Linked DNA regions of Lytechinus pictus. The protein of the gene in region 1 interacts with the protein of each later gene in a pairwise test. Links are inferred from orthologs where the notes say so. Each region holds a gene or a part of one and is shown on either strand. Other genes may lie near its edges.

Region 1 (7,603 bases):
CAGAAGATGTTGAACACTTTGTCTCATCCTGTCCAGCCACTGCATCTGTGTGCGGTGACCTCATCAATCACATAAAGGACAACAATACCAGACGATTTCCAGGTTTCTTTGAGGCAGACCCCCAGTTATTTCTAGAATGTATTTTTTCTTCCCCCTGTACGCATTAGCAGTGCTAGTGAAACCCAGCTCCACACTCTTATTTTATACTTCATTCGCAATCTTCACACAACGTGCCAAAATCTTTTCAGCAACTTGTCTAACTTTAGCAACCCATAAGAAGCGTCTTCAGTCATTTTTACTGATATCAGTGATCTCCGACCTTAATGGAGAAAGGAAACAAGAGAGAGGTTAAGATTTTGATATCCCCAACATCCATGGTTTAAGTTCATTGACCCTAAAGGCCTAAATAATCTTTGACCTTGGTCATGTGACCTGAAACTCGGGCAGGATGTTCAATGGTACTTAATCACCCTTATGTCCAAGTTTCATGAAATAGGTCATCATAACTTTCCAACTTATGCATGTTGGGGTAGCGAAATATAAGTTTGTCAAATGAGTTGTGAAGCGCAACAGGGGTACGTCTTCATCACTTCTGCATCACTGATTTTTTTTTTATTATAAAATATTAGCACATAAAAGGTGTTCATCCATTTGGAAAGGGGCAGCACATGATGAAAAATGTTGCACGTACAAATTTAAGGCCTGGTCCCACTAGCTGACGGACATAAAACGCATTCATAAGGGACACAAGCGTACAAGCAAAATTTCGGGGGTGGCTCCATCCGTTTTCATCTGCTCCAGAAATGGACAAATTAGCGAAAATTTTGCGAAAACATAATGGACACGAACGGACGTGGGTAGTATGTAGCGCGGACGTTAAAGGGATGTTCATCAGAAACCTTGCGCAAACAAGTGGAATGCCTCTGGCGGTCTCACCTGCATCACGTGATTCAATATAGCAGCAGTGCTGACTTTGAAAACTACTATAACTCGCACAAGATGTTCAGCGATACTTGGTTACTGTTATGTCCATGTTTTATGAACTAGACCAATACACTTACAGAGGTATGATGGTAATTCAACAAATACCCCCAACATGGCCAAAGTTTATTGACCTTACATGACCTTTGACCTTGAACATGTGACCTAAAACTCACACAGGATGTTCAGTGATACTTGATTACTCTTATGTCCAAGTTTCATGAGTCAGATCCATAAACTTTCAAAGTTATGATGGTAATTCAACAGATACCCCCATTATGGCCAAAGTTCATTGACCTTTGACCTTGGTCATGTGACCTGAAATGTGCACAGGATGTTTAGTGATACTTGATTACTCTTATGTCCAAGTTTCATGAATCAGATCCATAAACTTTCAAAGTTATGATGGCAATTCAAAAACTTAACCTTAGGTTAAGATTTTGATGTTGATTCCCCCAACATGGTCCAAGTCATTGACCCTAAATGACCTTCGACCTTGGTCATGTGACATGAAACTCAGGCAGGATGTTCAGTAATACTTGATTAACCTTATGACCAAGTTTCATGAACTAGGTCCATATACTTATGCTGTCATTTCAAAAACTTAACCTTCGGTTAAGATTTGGTGTTGACGCCGCCGCCGTCAGAAAAGCGGCGCCTATAGTCTCACTCTGCTATGCAGGTGAGACAAAAAACGGATGGAAGTGGATGACAGCTCCGAAGAGGTTACCAAGGATTTTGAATACTTTGTTTACGAGATGCATACACTTACATCCTTTCTTTTTCTGTACTTCTACTAACGATGTATATACGTTCCGTGTACCTTTATAACTTTCCTCCCTCTTTCCGATGGACGGATGCTCGATGGGCATGGATAGAGCTTATGAAGCATGTACGTAATGAGTACACAACAGATGCATAGCGTTTTCCAACAGATGGCAATCATTTTTTTTCCATTTTACATTCTTTTTGCATCTGTAAGTACAGGGGGACCGGCCCGGGTCTTTATGCATTGCAAGGCCTGGCGAATACTCCATGATCAGACACACAAGATTAACATCCGTCAACTTTTTTGCCCAGGTCAAGGCATAGTTGGCTGAATTCAAGGTAGAATACAAGCATGACAAGTAGAGGTTTAAAAGAATATTTTCTTAAATAAGAAAGAGATGCTTAGATCCTAGGTCATAAAAATACAACAATCAGGACCAGACATCATTCCAAAATTCCTAACAACAACATTTAAATTCACACAAAAAATAATAAGGCAACCAATAAATATTAAGCTAGTGCCTAGTCTACAATAAAAATAAGGAAGTGAATATCTATTAAAGCCAAGGAGCTACATCAAAACATCATGATCTAGTATAATCAATATAATCAATGGACAATGCACTAGCACATTCCATGTCTTAGACAAAGTACTACACGACTTACTGCAATATCAGTCAATGGGACCACAGTGAATTAGCTGAGCAATTCATGACTGATTGATAGTGTGTTTGCTATGGTCGGGTTTATGCGATATGCGTACCGCGTACACCACACCGCACACAGCACTCATAAACATTAACACTATTTCTAGCCGACTTTTATATCATTAGCACACAAAAACAACGAAATATTTTACTTACTGCATGCCTGGTCTGCGGATACATGACGGCAATAGGTAACTGACTCCTTTTAAGAATCCAGAATAAATGTAAAAATCGACGATGATATATTCCAATACTCTAAATCCTCAAGAAACGCCTTGGTGTCCGGGCCATGAATACTCGATTCATGTGTAAACTTAGCCGTTCCAAACAGCGAAGCATGCACGCAGTGTGTGTAAAACATATATATCCCGTGCATACACACAACGCGCTTACACACACTACGTGTATATCCAATGGGCGGGCATGACAGGCTTTAATACTCAATACACTGTTTGTGTGGTGGGAAGTAATTTGCCCGCGTATATAGTGTCTGCGTATATTCGTCCAAGTCAATTCAGCGCTGGTGTACACTTGTAGTTCAACGAGGATATATTCAGTTGTTGGGGGAAATAGATACCGCTGTTATACCTCAAAAGCCTCAAAAGTATACATGTTCCATGTTTTAGTTCGAAAATTAACCAAAAAATATAATTTGAAAAACTGCACGACCCGTAAACCACTTTAATTTTTTTTCCATATCCAAAACTATAAATCTGGCTTAGAATAAACTATATCATGTGCGGCATTTAGATACCACATAATAGGTCAGTTTCCACGCGGGACGCGACGACAAAGAAACAAGTGATATATTCCATAAAAGGAAAGTAATTGATTGGCTGTATCACCGACGGCGATTGAACGTGACCAGTAAGAACCGAGATATTCACGTGCCGCTAATTTATGTCAGCATAGTAGATTCAGCAACCAATCAGCGGCGCGTTCGTCCACAGGCCACGCCCTGCGAGTGACACCGTGATCACGCCTGACTAAAGTTCAGCTGACAAATTGGTGAAAGCCTCACCTACCACTTATCCGCGGAATGCGGGCACAGAAACCGATTGCATTTCACGCTGATATAAGCTGGCAATCCAGCCTCACACTATACACACTGCGGCAGACGAGGCTGCACAATATTCCATAGGGATTAGCTAGCCAACAACAAAGCAAGGAAAATTATCAAGTTACCCTGGGGGTAGCCGCAACGGGGGTTCGAACGATAAGATTGCACTTACGTGAGCGAAAAAAACTCGCCCTTATTTATTAAAAATAAACACAGGCGATACAGTGTACATGTATCCGGCCTAGATGGTGTGTGTACCCGGGAGGGTTTGCCGTGAAAACAAGTCAATCAAATATTGGCTGAGAGATCTTGCCTGAATTGAACACAGCTACGGCAAACAAAAACTCAACATTGCGTTTTAAAACGTAGGTTTTCTTTTTATTATGGTGGATTACTGAGTCTCACCTGTTTGGCTAAGAGTGGGGTATATTCTAAATCTTCAAAATTATTAAAACCCTTTCATTTTAACGGAGGTGTGAAAATCGATCTTCTCAACTTAAATTAGTATTAACAGGGGTATCGATTAATGATGTCAGCCTACTCGTTAAAAAAAACTTTGATTAGAAAAAAAAAACATTTTCAAAAATCACAAAGTCTCTCTTCACACTCATGGACCTATCACCATGTCACACTCAAGTCCAAATCAACGCCTGCAATATACATATGGAGGTCATATTGTGCCTCGTCAGGACATGATCAGGGATATTCGTGTGTCCGTTTGGTGTATTTGTCATGTCTTTTTTTTTTTTTTTTTTTTTTCTTTTTTTTCATTTCATTACATCGAGTCGGAATTTCTCTAGCCCTGACTGTTTGGAACAGCCTTAAGTCATGTTAAATGAAAATTCCACAGATATGGCATCATCGAGGAGTTAGATTCAACACACGGCCATCAGTCAACAGAAAACAAAGACTATCATAAAATGAAATCTTATAAAGACCTTTCTACGGCTGGGTGATAATAATTCCCACCGCCAAATATTATTCCCGACGATAGCAAGAACAGCCGCAATGCTACGCCTATACACATATGCATTATCACGCACGGAAGGACACGCCCACTATCCAGCGAAAAATCGGTGACTTTACAGCTACGCCGCTGATTGGCTAAAGCATATTCATCTAATTAACTTCACGTGCTCGCGCCGAGTAAATTGCATAGGCTCCAAATGCTTGTACACACTGTCAAAGGGTTTCGCTGTAAAAGATGTGGCTGATTGAACCAATGTTTATGCTACCGCAGTTAAGTCCACAAATGAGGGTATTGGTTTAGTAACCCAGCTTAGGAAATAGTGGAAATAATAAGTGAACATGGTAACCTGTATATCTAAACGACCATTCAAGCATGCATATTATTAATATTATTATAAGATACCTTATATAAAAAAAAAATATTCTAAACGGGTGATCAAATTTTGATTTGTCGAGTTTCCCCTTTTCACCCGACAGCTTTTAATTTTCTGCTCTCACGGTTTTCTTTTCCTTTCGGTTTTATTGATTGAATAACATAACATTCAATTCAAGATGGGACACGTTATAGAACAATACTTTAGGAAGGAGAAACAAAAATAAAGCTCAAAAACATGTGTTTAAAAAAATGTCTGAAGGCATGCAAAGAGTCAGGTCAGAATGCGGCTACAGACCAGTCCACGAGTGCTCATCAAATTCCCTCAGGTGATAACATGAACGGCTCCTGTTACTAGGGCAACAAGGTCGTTTTCCCGCCACCTTCTTGGTTTTGTTTTGTTTTCCCCCTCACAAAATAATCACGCCTACTTACAGGCTTTCCGTGGTGGGATCTGTAATTATCATTTCCATTTTTGTTTATAAGTCCATGTCCTGTTTTCCTTGGTGTTTCCTCCTTATCCCAATTCTTCTTAAAGGACAAGTCCACCCCAACAGAGAGTGGCTTTGCATAAAAAGATAAAGTTAAATCCAACAAGCACAACACTGAAAATTTCAAGTATCCCTTCACAAAAATTATATTCAAGATTATTACATATCAGGTTGGAAATGGAGGTGGCTGCTAATAACAACGTGAGCATAAACCAGTTATTAAATGAACAAAAAATAAGAAGAAATTAAAATAGAAAAGGAAATAAGAAAAGAGAAATAAAAGGTCTCCAGAATCCAGCCCCAGTATACGCACAAACGGACCTCGCTGATCAACATGAAAACGAAAGAGATTGAAAAGTGTACGTCACATCATGCACATGATTCATGTTTGATTTATTTTAAATACAAGAGTTTGAGTGATGAAGAGTTAATTCAATGGTTATCTTGGAGAAACTTTTTGAACTTATATGCGAAAGAATTTAGGCTTGGTGATTTTTTGATGTTATTATTAATAGTTCCCCAGAGTCTAGGGCCTTCAAAAGTAAAAATTGATTTTGCAAGGATGGTCCGGGGTAGTGGTAAACTGGTTAATGGAATTCATCTGATTGACGTGCATGTGGGATATTGTGAAGAGTTTTGTTTTTGTTAAATGAAGAATTAGATATGGGTGGTAACATATTATTGTTTAATTGATACATGAATTGACCTAAGTTATATTGGTACATTGTTTTTATTTTTAGAATGTTCTTGTTAAAAAACAAGTGATCTGTGTGGGATCTCCAGGACAAGTTGAAAATAACACGCAACGCCTTCATTTGTAAAAGCAATATTCTATCTATAGGTAGGTAATTGAGTGTGTATTTCCCCCAAACGATTGCTCCATAATTTAGATATGGTAAAATTAATGTTGAATAAAGCATTTCTAGGGAGGAAGTTGAAAGAAAAAAATTAACTTTGTTGAAAGCACCAATATTGCGTGAAATTGTACGACATATAAAGTCAATGTGTGTTTTCCAAGATAATTTGTCTATTATGAGACCTAAAAATGTTGTTGTAGTAATAACTTCATTGTCTTTATTGTCCAGTTTAATATTAAATGGCAATTGTTCTATAAAGAATTGCTAGAAAGCAAGCATTTCGTTTTTTTGTACATTAATTGACAATTTGTTAGCCCTAATCCATTGTACCAATTTATCCAGTTCAGTGTTCAGTACATTAATTGAAATATCGGGGTTAGGATGAGAGTAGAGTACATTTGAATCATCTGCAAAAAAAGACATTATTTCAGAGGAGTTCTGGATGTCATTTATATAGATTATAAATAAAAGTGGGCCCATGAGGCTGCCTTGGGGAACACCCCGGTTAACATTTTGTAGAGAAGAATTGCTTACGATTTGCGAGGTAGTTTCTGAACCACTCCAAGGCCTTCCCACGAATTCCGTAATTTTCAAGTTTGTAGAGAAGTATTTAATGATTTTTTTTATAGTGTCAAAGGCCTTGGAGAGGTCCAGAAAAAACATCTATTGTGTGTTCAAAGTTGTCAATAGCTTTTGTGATTTTGTCAATAAATGAGAGAGTGGCATGAGATATATTTTTGGCGAAATCCATATTGAAAAACAGAAATTATATCATCTTTAATAAAAAAAAATTAATAATCTTGTATAGATCACCCTTTCCATAACTTTAGACAAAGTAGGCAATAAAGCTATTGGTCTATAGTTACATACATTAATCTTTTCATATTCATTTTCTTTTTCATTGTTATACTTGTTTGATTTTTCTCTATTGATTCAAATTAACATTTTTCTGGAGTGAACTTGCCCTTTTAGATCCAAGTCCTCTTCAGAAAAAAAAAGTGGTTTAAAGGAAAACAGAAACAATTCAATTTGAATTAAAAAGGTATTAAACAAATACTTTTTGTAATCATGAACATGGTGTGTATCTCACTGTAACAAAATAATAATTAAAACTCGAATCATGAGAATAATTTCTGCATATTGACTTTAAAACGGAATATTTTAAGCCTAGGCCTATATGGTTTCCTCGTGAGCAGATTGTTATCCCAATCAAGGAAGCATAAATATATATGAGCGCTTTCTTAATTACCTGAAAGTTTTTATCCAATTATTCCCCTCCCCCCTATTTCCTTCACTTTCTTATTCTTGTTTTTTTTTCTTGTCTTTCCTCCATTCCTTTGTATTTTTCTTTCTCTTTTCTTCCCCCTTTTTTCTCTCTTGGCAAGTGCTGCATGGGT
Region 2 (7,683 bases), on another chromosome or scaffold:
CAATTCTTGACAATTCTTTTTTTTTTATTTAAATGTATTTAAAAAAGCATATTTATGTATTCTTGAACAAAATATAGATTCGCACTGACGATTGCGTTGCTACTTGAATCAAGTCATGCATATCAAATAAAAAGTCATTACGTTATACAGGTGCCTATATACTTCTCAAATAGTGAATAACCCTTTTACAACTATGTATTAATGATGCATAACAGATCAACATCTTAAGGAAATATATTTGCTTTGCGGTGATCATTGGTGATGATGGGATTAAAAATAGATAACTAAGCCGGAAGGAACTTTACAGCAAAATACGAAACCTCTTAAGAAGCGAACCGAAACGTTAAAAATAAGTTGTACTGTAATGCTAATCTAAACTTCTATGTTTTCCGAATCAAGAGGAACGGTTTGGGATACGATCAGGCGACGCCAAAAAAACTTCGACTTTCAGAAGTTGTAAATGATCAAAAACGGAGAGTAAATGATGTGTGAAACTTGAGTTAAGTCACTTGATCACTTTGTACTTTCAGGCTACATGTATGAGCTTTAACAAGCAACTCCTAAAATATATGACAAAGCCATAAACAACATATTCACGTTAACGAATATTCAATTTGATCAAAATTTTATTTCTTGTTACAATTTTTCAATATTTTTTTTTCTTTGACGGGTCAAAACAATCAGCAGTATATAGTAAAGGATGCTAAACAATAATCAACTCTGTGCTTTTCTCGGGTTCCATTGAAAATATCTAAGGTCAAAACACATGTCTGCATGATTATTAACAAAGCTCGCCCCTTCTTTGAAACATTCAAATCGAATTTATGTGCATTATACCAAATGAAATATCTTTGACTTAGAAACTAAAAATAATACATACCTTGATAGTTGTTTCTGGTAGATTGAGAGCGGTGGCCAACTCGCATCGTTTGGGTCGGGATACGTAGTTCTCACGGGCAAACTCCTTTTCAAGTCGGCCGATCTGTTCCCGGGTGAATGCGGTGCGGTATCGGCGAACCTGTGATGGGTCCAGCGGGTCAGCTGTAAACAGGAAAAGTGAAACACGTTTTATCATTAAAACTTGATCGCATAATATAATATAGATCAAATATTTATGTACAATTACCAACATATTTGATTTTTGTTTTAAATATTAAGAATATTTAAATTTCAAAACTTATGCAAAACTTAAGCTTTAATTTTGCAATTTGTTTACAGAAGAAAAAAAAAATCACACAATTTCGTAAGCAATTTGTTGTAAGTATATTCTCAATAATCGCATCCACATTATGATAGCAAGAGCATATTCAACGCGTAACATCAACTATTGAATATCATATATCAACTACAATTATATACATGACTGCATAATCTTGAAATCAACTGAAGCAAACGCTTGATCTGACAAACAAGTCACATCTACCCCAACCCTAATCAAAAGCATATTAAAGTTAATGACCACCTTGATACTTTGGCTCTTGGTGGCAATGATGGCACCCTGACTTCCCCTTGTCATTATCGCTAATGATGGGAAATCATAAAATGGAAAATTATAAGTGCATGGTCAACATGATTTCACCAGTAACCAGTAGGTTGATAATATTCTACATGATTAGAGCAGTATACAGGTCTCGGGCCCCATGCCAACGTGGCGTGACGCTCGGCAAGTGTCGGGGGCAATCAGCTGAAAAACTCTTTCAATCTTCAAACCCATACGTTTTCCTACCCTCCTTCCTTCTAAAATACACATATAACTGGAAAATATCTCTTATCCAAACGAATCGTTAAATTGAAAAGTAATAAAAGACATCAGAAAAATCATCTTGATACAGACATTTTTGGTGTAACGACTATAATAATTATTTTTGGTCTCACAGGTGTGTTAAAAATGCAATAAGTCTGAAAAGAACATTTAAGTAAAATTGGCGAAATCAAATCTATAACTTACCACGAAGTGCAGAATTTGGTGGAGAAGAATCCGTCTTGTGTAGGCCAAACTCTAGGTTGTCAGGACAGCTGTCTGGTGAGAGGCGATCACCCCACTTTCCCAATGGGCTAGAGTCCCGAGAGTAGTGACCATTCAGTAGAGTGTCCTGGTGTTCATCGCCGCTGAGATGTTCACCCTTGACAGGAGGACTAGGTGATCGTGATAGGGGATGATGATGGGTCGAGTGACGAAAGTCCAACGTCTGTGCCGATGGGATGGTGTGAGCCGTGGGGTACGGCAGCAAGGTTGGGTGGTGGCCGATCGTAGAAGGGACAGCGACATCACCTCCCGTGACGGCCCGGCTCATGATGACGGCAGCAGCTGATGAAGTCTTTGATGAACTGCTGGACGAAACATCGGCATAGGGCATGAAGAGGGTATGATGACGAGCCTCTGACGGGGCTGCTACAGCACTGTGAGATGCTCCTGGTGTAGTGGTGACGTTGTTGTTGGAGTCTTGATGTTGGTTGTCAGTCGTAGGAAGCATGTTGGTAAAACCTTTGTCCATGTTAAACAGAAAACACTCGATCAATGTACGTTTGCTGTCCACCAATCCTTGACTTTAAATCAACTCCAAATCAAATCTAGACGACAAGCCCGATACCCGAAACTTTCTCTTTCTTGATTGGATGAAATATCACAACATCAATTTATGATCGGTGCTCTTTGACTTTTTCGGAAAATTGAAGTGGAACGGTCAGGAAAGTGCTTCCTCGGTCAGGCTTGCTGACGAAGTGGTTGTCGAGTCCAAGGGTTACAAAGTGTCCATGTAATATATTCGACGAAGGTATTTAAAGGATATCAACACAACTTGTGTGTCAACTTTCAGCTGATATCAGTAGTACATTAACAATGCAGACGAGTTCACTTTCTCATCAGGTAAGTTTAAAGACTCGAAGACATGATAACTTCTCTCTTGGGTGACGAAAGTGAAATATGACGATGTTCCAGCTTTCTTCGGATATAAATACGGTGAGTTAAATTCAATCATGACCATACCAGATTAGGTAACACCCAATAAGGGACAGTGCTTTTGAACTTTAGCGCACCAATAAGGGGGCGTACCCCTTTTGTTATGTTAATCGCGGCTTCCAAGCCGAAGACACTAAACGATCTGGTAATCAAAGCTCCATTACACGGAGTCATCAATAGCGAACGCGCACAATGGCGTGCGGACACGGAGGGCTAACAAAAACAACAAAAGCGCGTTCTCCCGACCAGTCAAGTTGAAAAGGATCGCTCATTTACACGTCAATGGCACACAGCGACACCGCCTCTACCCCTATCAGTAACATAAAAGATAGTTGAAATAGATGCATGGGATGAGACACTGATATCTATTCATGGCACAAATTGGGTCGTCTTCGTCCTTTCTTACAGCTTTCGCTTTCTGATCGCCGCCGTGATAAAGGGCAAAGATTTGAGAAGAAAGCAAGTCGTCATTGAAACTCTTCTCACTTTTGTCTCCCCTCCCAAGATCTTGTTAATACCATACTTTATTTTCTTTACAGCTTTCTGGCTATCTATGCATTCACTGAAATCTGTGTATAAAGTTTACGAGCCCTTGGCGTTGTATCATCCTAAATCTTCCTTTCAAACGAAAAATGGGAAAGCTTAGCTCTTACACCGTCTACCCCGTCACAATACTTCAAACTCCATGACACAAAGCTGTCGGAATGGCAAACCCAGACTCAAAGTAAATAAAAATAGAGTTTCGATTTTTAGTTTAATTCGGTGATCAACTTAAATTGTTTTCTTGTAAGATATTCAAGGTACTTTATAGGTAGCGATGCAAGTTAGATGATACGTCTTTGGATAAATCTTGATTAGCTGCTGATCATATTAAGTCTAATTGGATTATTTTAGAAAAGAATGTGAAAACTAGCTACTAGTAATTTTGGGGTCATTGCCCTCGGCTCCTAAATTGCAATGTACATAAAAGGGCTTTGGTGTTGAACACAACACCAGTCAGTATTGTGAGAGACCCATACCAGCCAGGTGTAAAAAAAGTCATAGTGTTTCAATATAACACCAGACCATGCATAATAAACAGAATATGTTATAATTACACCAATGAGTTTTGAACTAACACTATGAAATCATCACCAGTGTAAAATTGTGTTGTGCTTTCATAACAACGACGGGTGTAATTTTAACGCCCTCTGGTTTTGCCAGTGAAGACATTGACTATACCATGGCTGTACTCTACCCAGAGCAGGGGTGTGGATGGGGCATAAATTCCCAAACTGTTTACATCAAGAGTGCACCTCCTCTTTCAATCTCAATTCAAACTACCCCCCCCCCCCCAAAAAAAAAAAAAAAAAAATCGGAATTAACTCGACAGCGTCATTCACTCGCTTATATGTATTCTTGAACATTCACTTACCCCTATAGAAAAAAGCTTTGCGTACTACCATGTTGACAAAGAATTTTTTTTTACAAAAATCAACCCTGCATGCCAATGTCGAGTAATCCTCAATCATGTCAAGTATGAATTGGATTTTAATAAATCGAAAGAGTATATTCACCACAATAACTAATGTTAGTAATATGAAATAAAATAAATATTTTCACCTTTATTTTTTTTAAACAAGCTCCGACTTCATGTGTATCCTGATCATGTTTACTATTGTTTTGAACCTGGCATTGGTCAAATGAATGAACTGAAATGAAATTTGTAAAATCAATGTGTATCGTAATTTTAAGATTATGTATTTCTATATTTTATTTTAAGATTATGTATTTCTATATTTTATTACAACATGGTAAGAGATGAGAACCGGAGAAATAAACAAAACATCGTGACTACACAGGGTTTGTATATAGGCCCATGCAGTAGTTTGACATTATGATGATAATTCTTGTTCTGTAAAGTAAACATAAATATAGTGAGTAAAAACAAATATTTACGTATTTAGAGTTAACATGAGTGTAAATGTCATTATTATGATGTACATTCAATGGAACCAAAGATACAAAAGCGTACTTTTACTGTAATATTGGAGATAATAATGCGCCGAATATAGTCTCGTATAATTATATGGGTATTTGGCATGTATATATTAAAAATTATATATTTTATTTTATTCTGATTTTCTTAATCATTCTGGCCGATCTAACTAATTTACATTTCAGAGGCTATGACAGTTTATATAGCATGGATCTTCGCCCCCAATTGTGTATGATTGAGATTTCTGTGCGCTGCAAATACTCCCGTGTTGATTTACCACCAGCCCGGAATCTATATATGTCCACACCAGGCAAGTATCGAAAACAACACCAGTTTAGAATCAAACCAATGCTGTTTTAGTTATAATTGGTGCTGTCTAAACACCTATCTGGTGTTAGATCAAAACCAAACTGGTGTTGTTTAACACTTAACACTTCTGGTTTGGACATACATAGATTCCGGACTGGTGGTAAATCAACAGCGGAGTTGGTGCAGTGTGACATATTGCATCGCATCCCAAACTCATCATAATGGTTTACTAAATTAAGATGAAAAGAGAAGATATTCCCCATCTATTGACTACTCAATCCTGTAATTCAGGTTTGCATATGGACTATTTTTTTTCCATGAAGTCAATTCTCTGGTATTGAAATTGTAATCAAGTTACAGAGATGGAACCCGTAACCCGTTTTTTTTTATGAGTTATAAATTCATTGGACTACTAGTGCAAATTCTACCCGAGTCGGAACATAATAATCATGATGAAATATTAAGGAATCTTTATTATGAATAGTCTTCTGATCTATTGAAAATAACAATTATATATAAACAAAAAAAAATGCATTTATTTATATAAAGAAATGATATGGGTGATTCACACTTAGCAAATGCCTCAACTAATTTGTAGGCAAGTTAAGAAATCAATTAAAAATTCGACCAGGTGATGATGCCCATTGGCTTCTAACAATAAAAGAGTTCTTATAGATGCTTTTCTGTATGCCGCAGAACAAGGAGATCTTAGCGGCTCGTCGCACTCACCGCCTGGTCATCTCCCCTATTGTGACGGCCAGGTTCCGCTGTGTTTCGCGGGGTGTTAAGGAGGTTGTTGATCAACTGTTTTGTTCCTCGGGTCTAGCCCGGGCATTCGAATCCGGCTTTCAATTTCAAAAGAATCCTGCTCTCTTTTCTTCCATTCTGTGACTTATTTGGATGATCAAGAAACTCTTGACTAAAAGCACATCGCCGTCAAGTGACAGGTTAATGTACATTGATCATTGGCTATACTATTAAAATAAAATGTTATTGTTAGACATTTCATTGCATTCCCGCTCCCCTAACTTTCTTATGCAGTTATGTAGTTCGAGTTTGATCAAAATGTAATCGCAGAGGCATGAAGATTAAATAACTATGGATTTTACCCACATTGCTAATTTGCACTAGGTGTGACACTTATTATCACATACAACTGTCAATATGGCAGGGGTCGCGGAAACGGAGGGGGGGGGGGCTGGGTGAGCCCCCACTCTTTTTTCTCTAAAAACGCCATTTGACTGTGTTTTGCATGGTCAGCACCCACTTTCGGCTCAGCCCCCCACTTTCAAAATCGTTCCGCGGCCCCTGAGATTATGTTCGATGATTTTGAATTTATTTTCCTTGGTTGAGTTGGGAACATTAATATCAATGCATGGTCTAGTGCCAATATTCCTTGAAAGGATTTGAATCCTGGACCTGAGGAGTTACGGTTTGTTGTTTGGATCTGGAAAACACGATTATTAATACATTCTAAAATATCCCATCGGTTATTTAATGATAATAATAATTGGCATTTTTATAGCGCTTTATCAATCTACGATTGTTCAAAGCGCTTAACAATTAATATTACCCGGTCACTGGATTCATAGCATTTCAAGCAGCCTGTTAGGCGCACACTTACTAAACCAACCACAATGACGGTTGTTTCCTACCGGTTATTATTTTATTTTATTATTGTGTTTTTTTTTTTTGGGGTGTTCACAATGTATAAGAGTGCCAAATTAGGAAAATACTATTGCTTGAGAGTATATTCGATGTTAGTATCTTGATTATTTACAAATTCATCTGCTAACACATTTCAATATTAATTTTGAAATAATATATAAGTAGGCCCACATCAAATATGATTGGTCTATTTCATCTTATGGAAATTCAATGCTATATCATCTTGACCAACTATATTTATTTATATATATATACTTTTTAATGTAATTTCAGTGAAAATAAAATAATATCAATTCTTCGTCAAAAAGCACGGAATAAACCTTTACCCAATATTTGGTTAACAATTTTGTAAAAGCAGGTATGTTGGGTATTATATTGGTTTAAAATACTGTTAAAAAGTGTGGGTACTTCACAGATCAATGCTAAGATTTACACAGCAAACATTGGCAAAAGTGACCGCCATTTAACCCAACAAACATGCATGATCTAAATGAGAGTGACCATGTCTCAGCTGTTTCATATAACGGCGATTCACATTGTTGCATGGGGAATTTTGAAATTAAAGAATAAAATTGTAAATGAAAGATTCAATTATTCCAATGTAACTATAATCACCAAGATATTTTTCCATGGTTTTACGTCTTCCTCGAAAATAAACCAACTTTTTGTTATATTATATATATTTATATATATTGTTATATTATTATATTTTCTTCATGTGTTGATTGACATCATACATGTAGATGTTCTCGTGTTAGCACAAATACTA

The links.
Region 2: the proteins of transducin-like enhancer protein 4 (region 1) and homeobox even-skipped homolog protein 2-like interact in a two-hybrid assay, tested with the Drosophila melanogaster proteins (2 studies listed by BioGRID). The link is inferred for Lytechinus pictus from reciprocal best matches to the Drosophila melanogaster genes gro and eve.

The regions. Positions count from the first base shown.
Region 1 is NC_087249.1:5,395,025-5,402,627, forward strand, and holds the start of transducin-like enhancer protein 4, read right to left. Parts: upstream 3,263-7,603; 5' UTR 2,637-3,262; coding exon 2,613-2,636; intron 1-2,612. UniProt on the Drosophila melanogaster protein: Transcriptional corepressor that regulates transcription when recruited to specific target DNA by hairy-related bHLH proteins. Maternally required for neurogenesis; in the segregation of the neuroectoderm. Directly or indirectly interacts with Notch and Delta.
Region 2 is NC_087247.1:44,796,586-44,804,268, reverse strand, and holds the start of homeobox even-skipped homolog protein 2-like, read right to left. Parts: upstream 3,098-7,683; 5' UTR 2,496-3,097; coding exon 1,949-2,495; intron 1,042-1,948; coding exon 881-1,041; intron 1-880. UniProt on the Drosophila melanogaster protein: May play a role in determining neuronal identity. May be directly involved in specifying identity of individual neurons.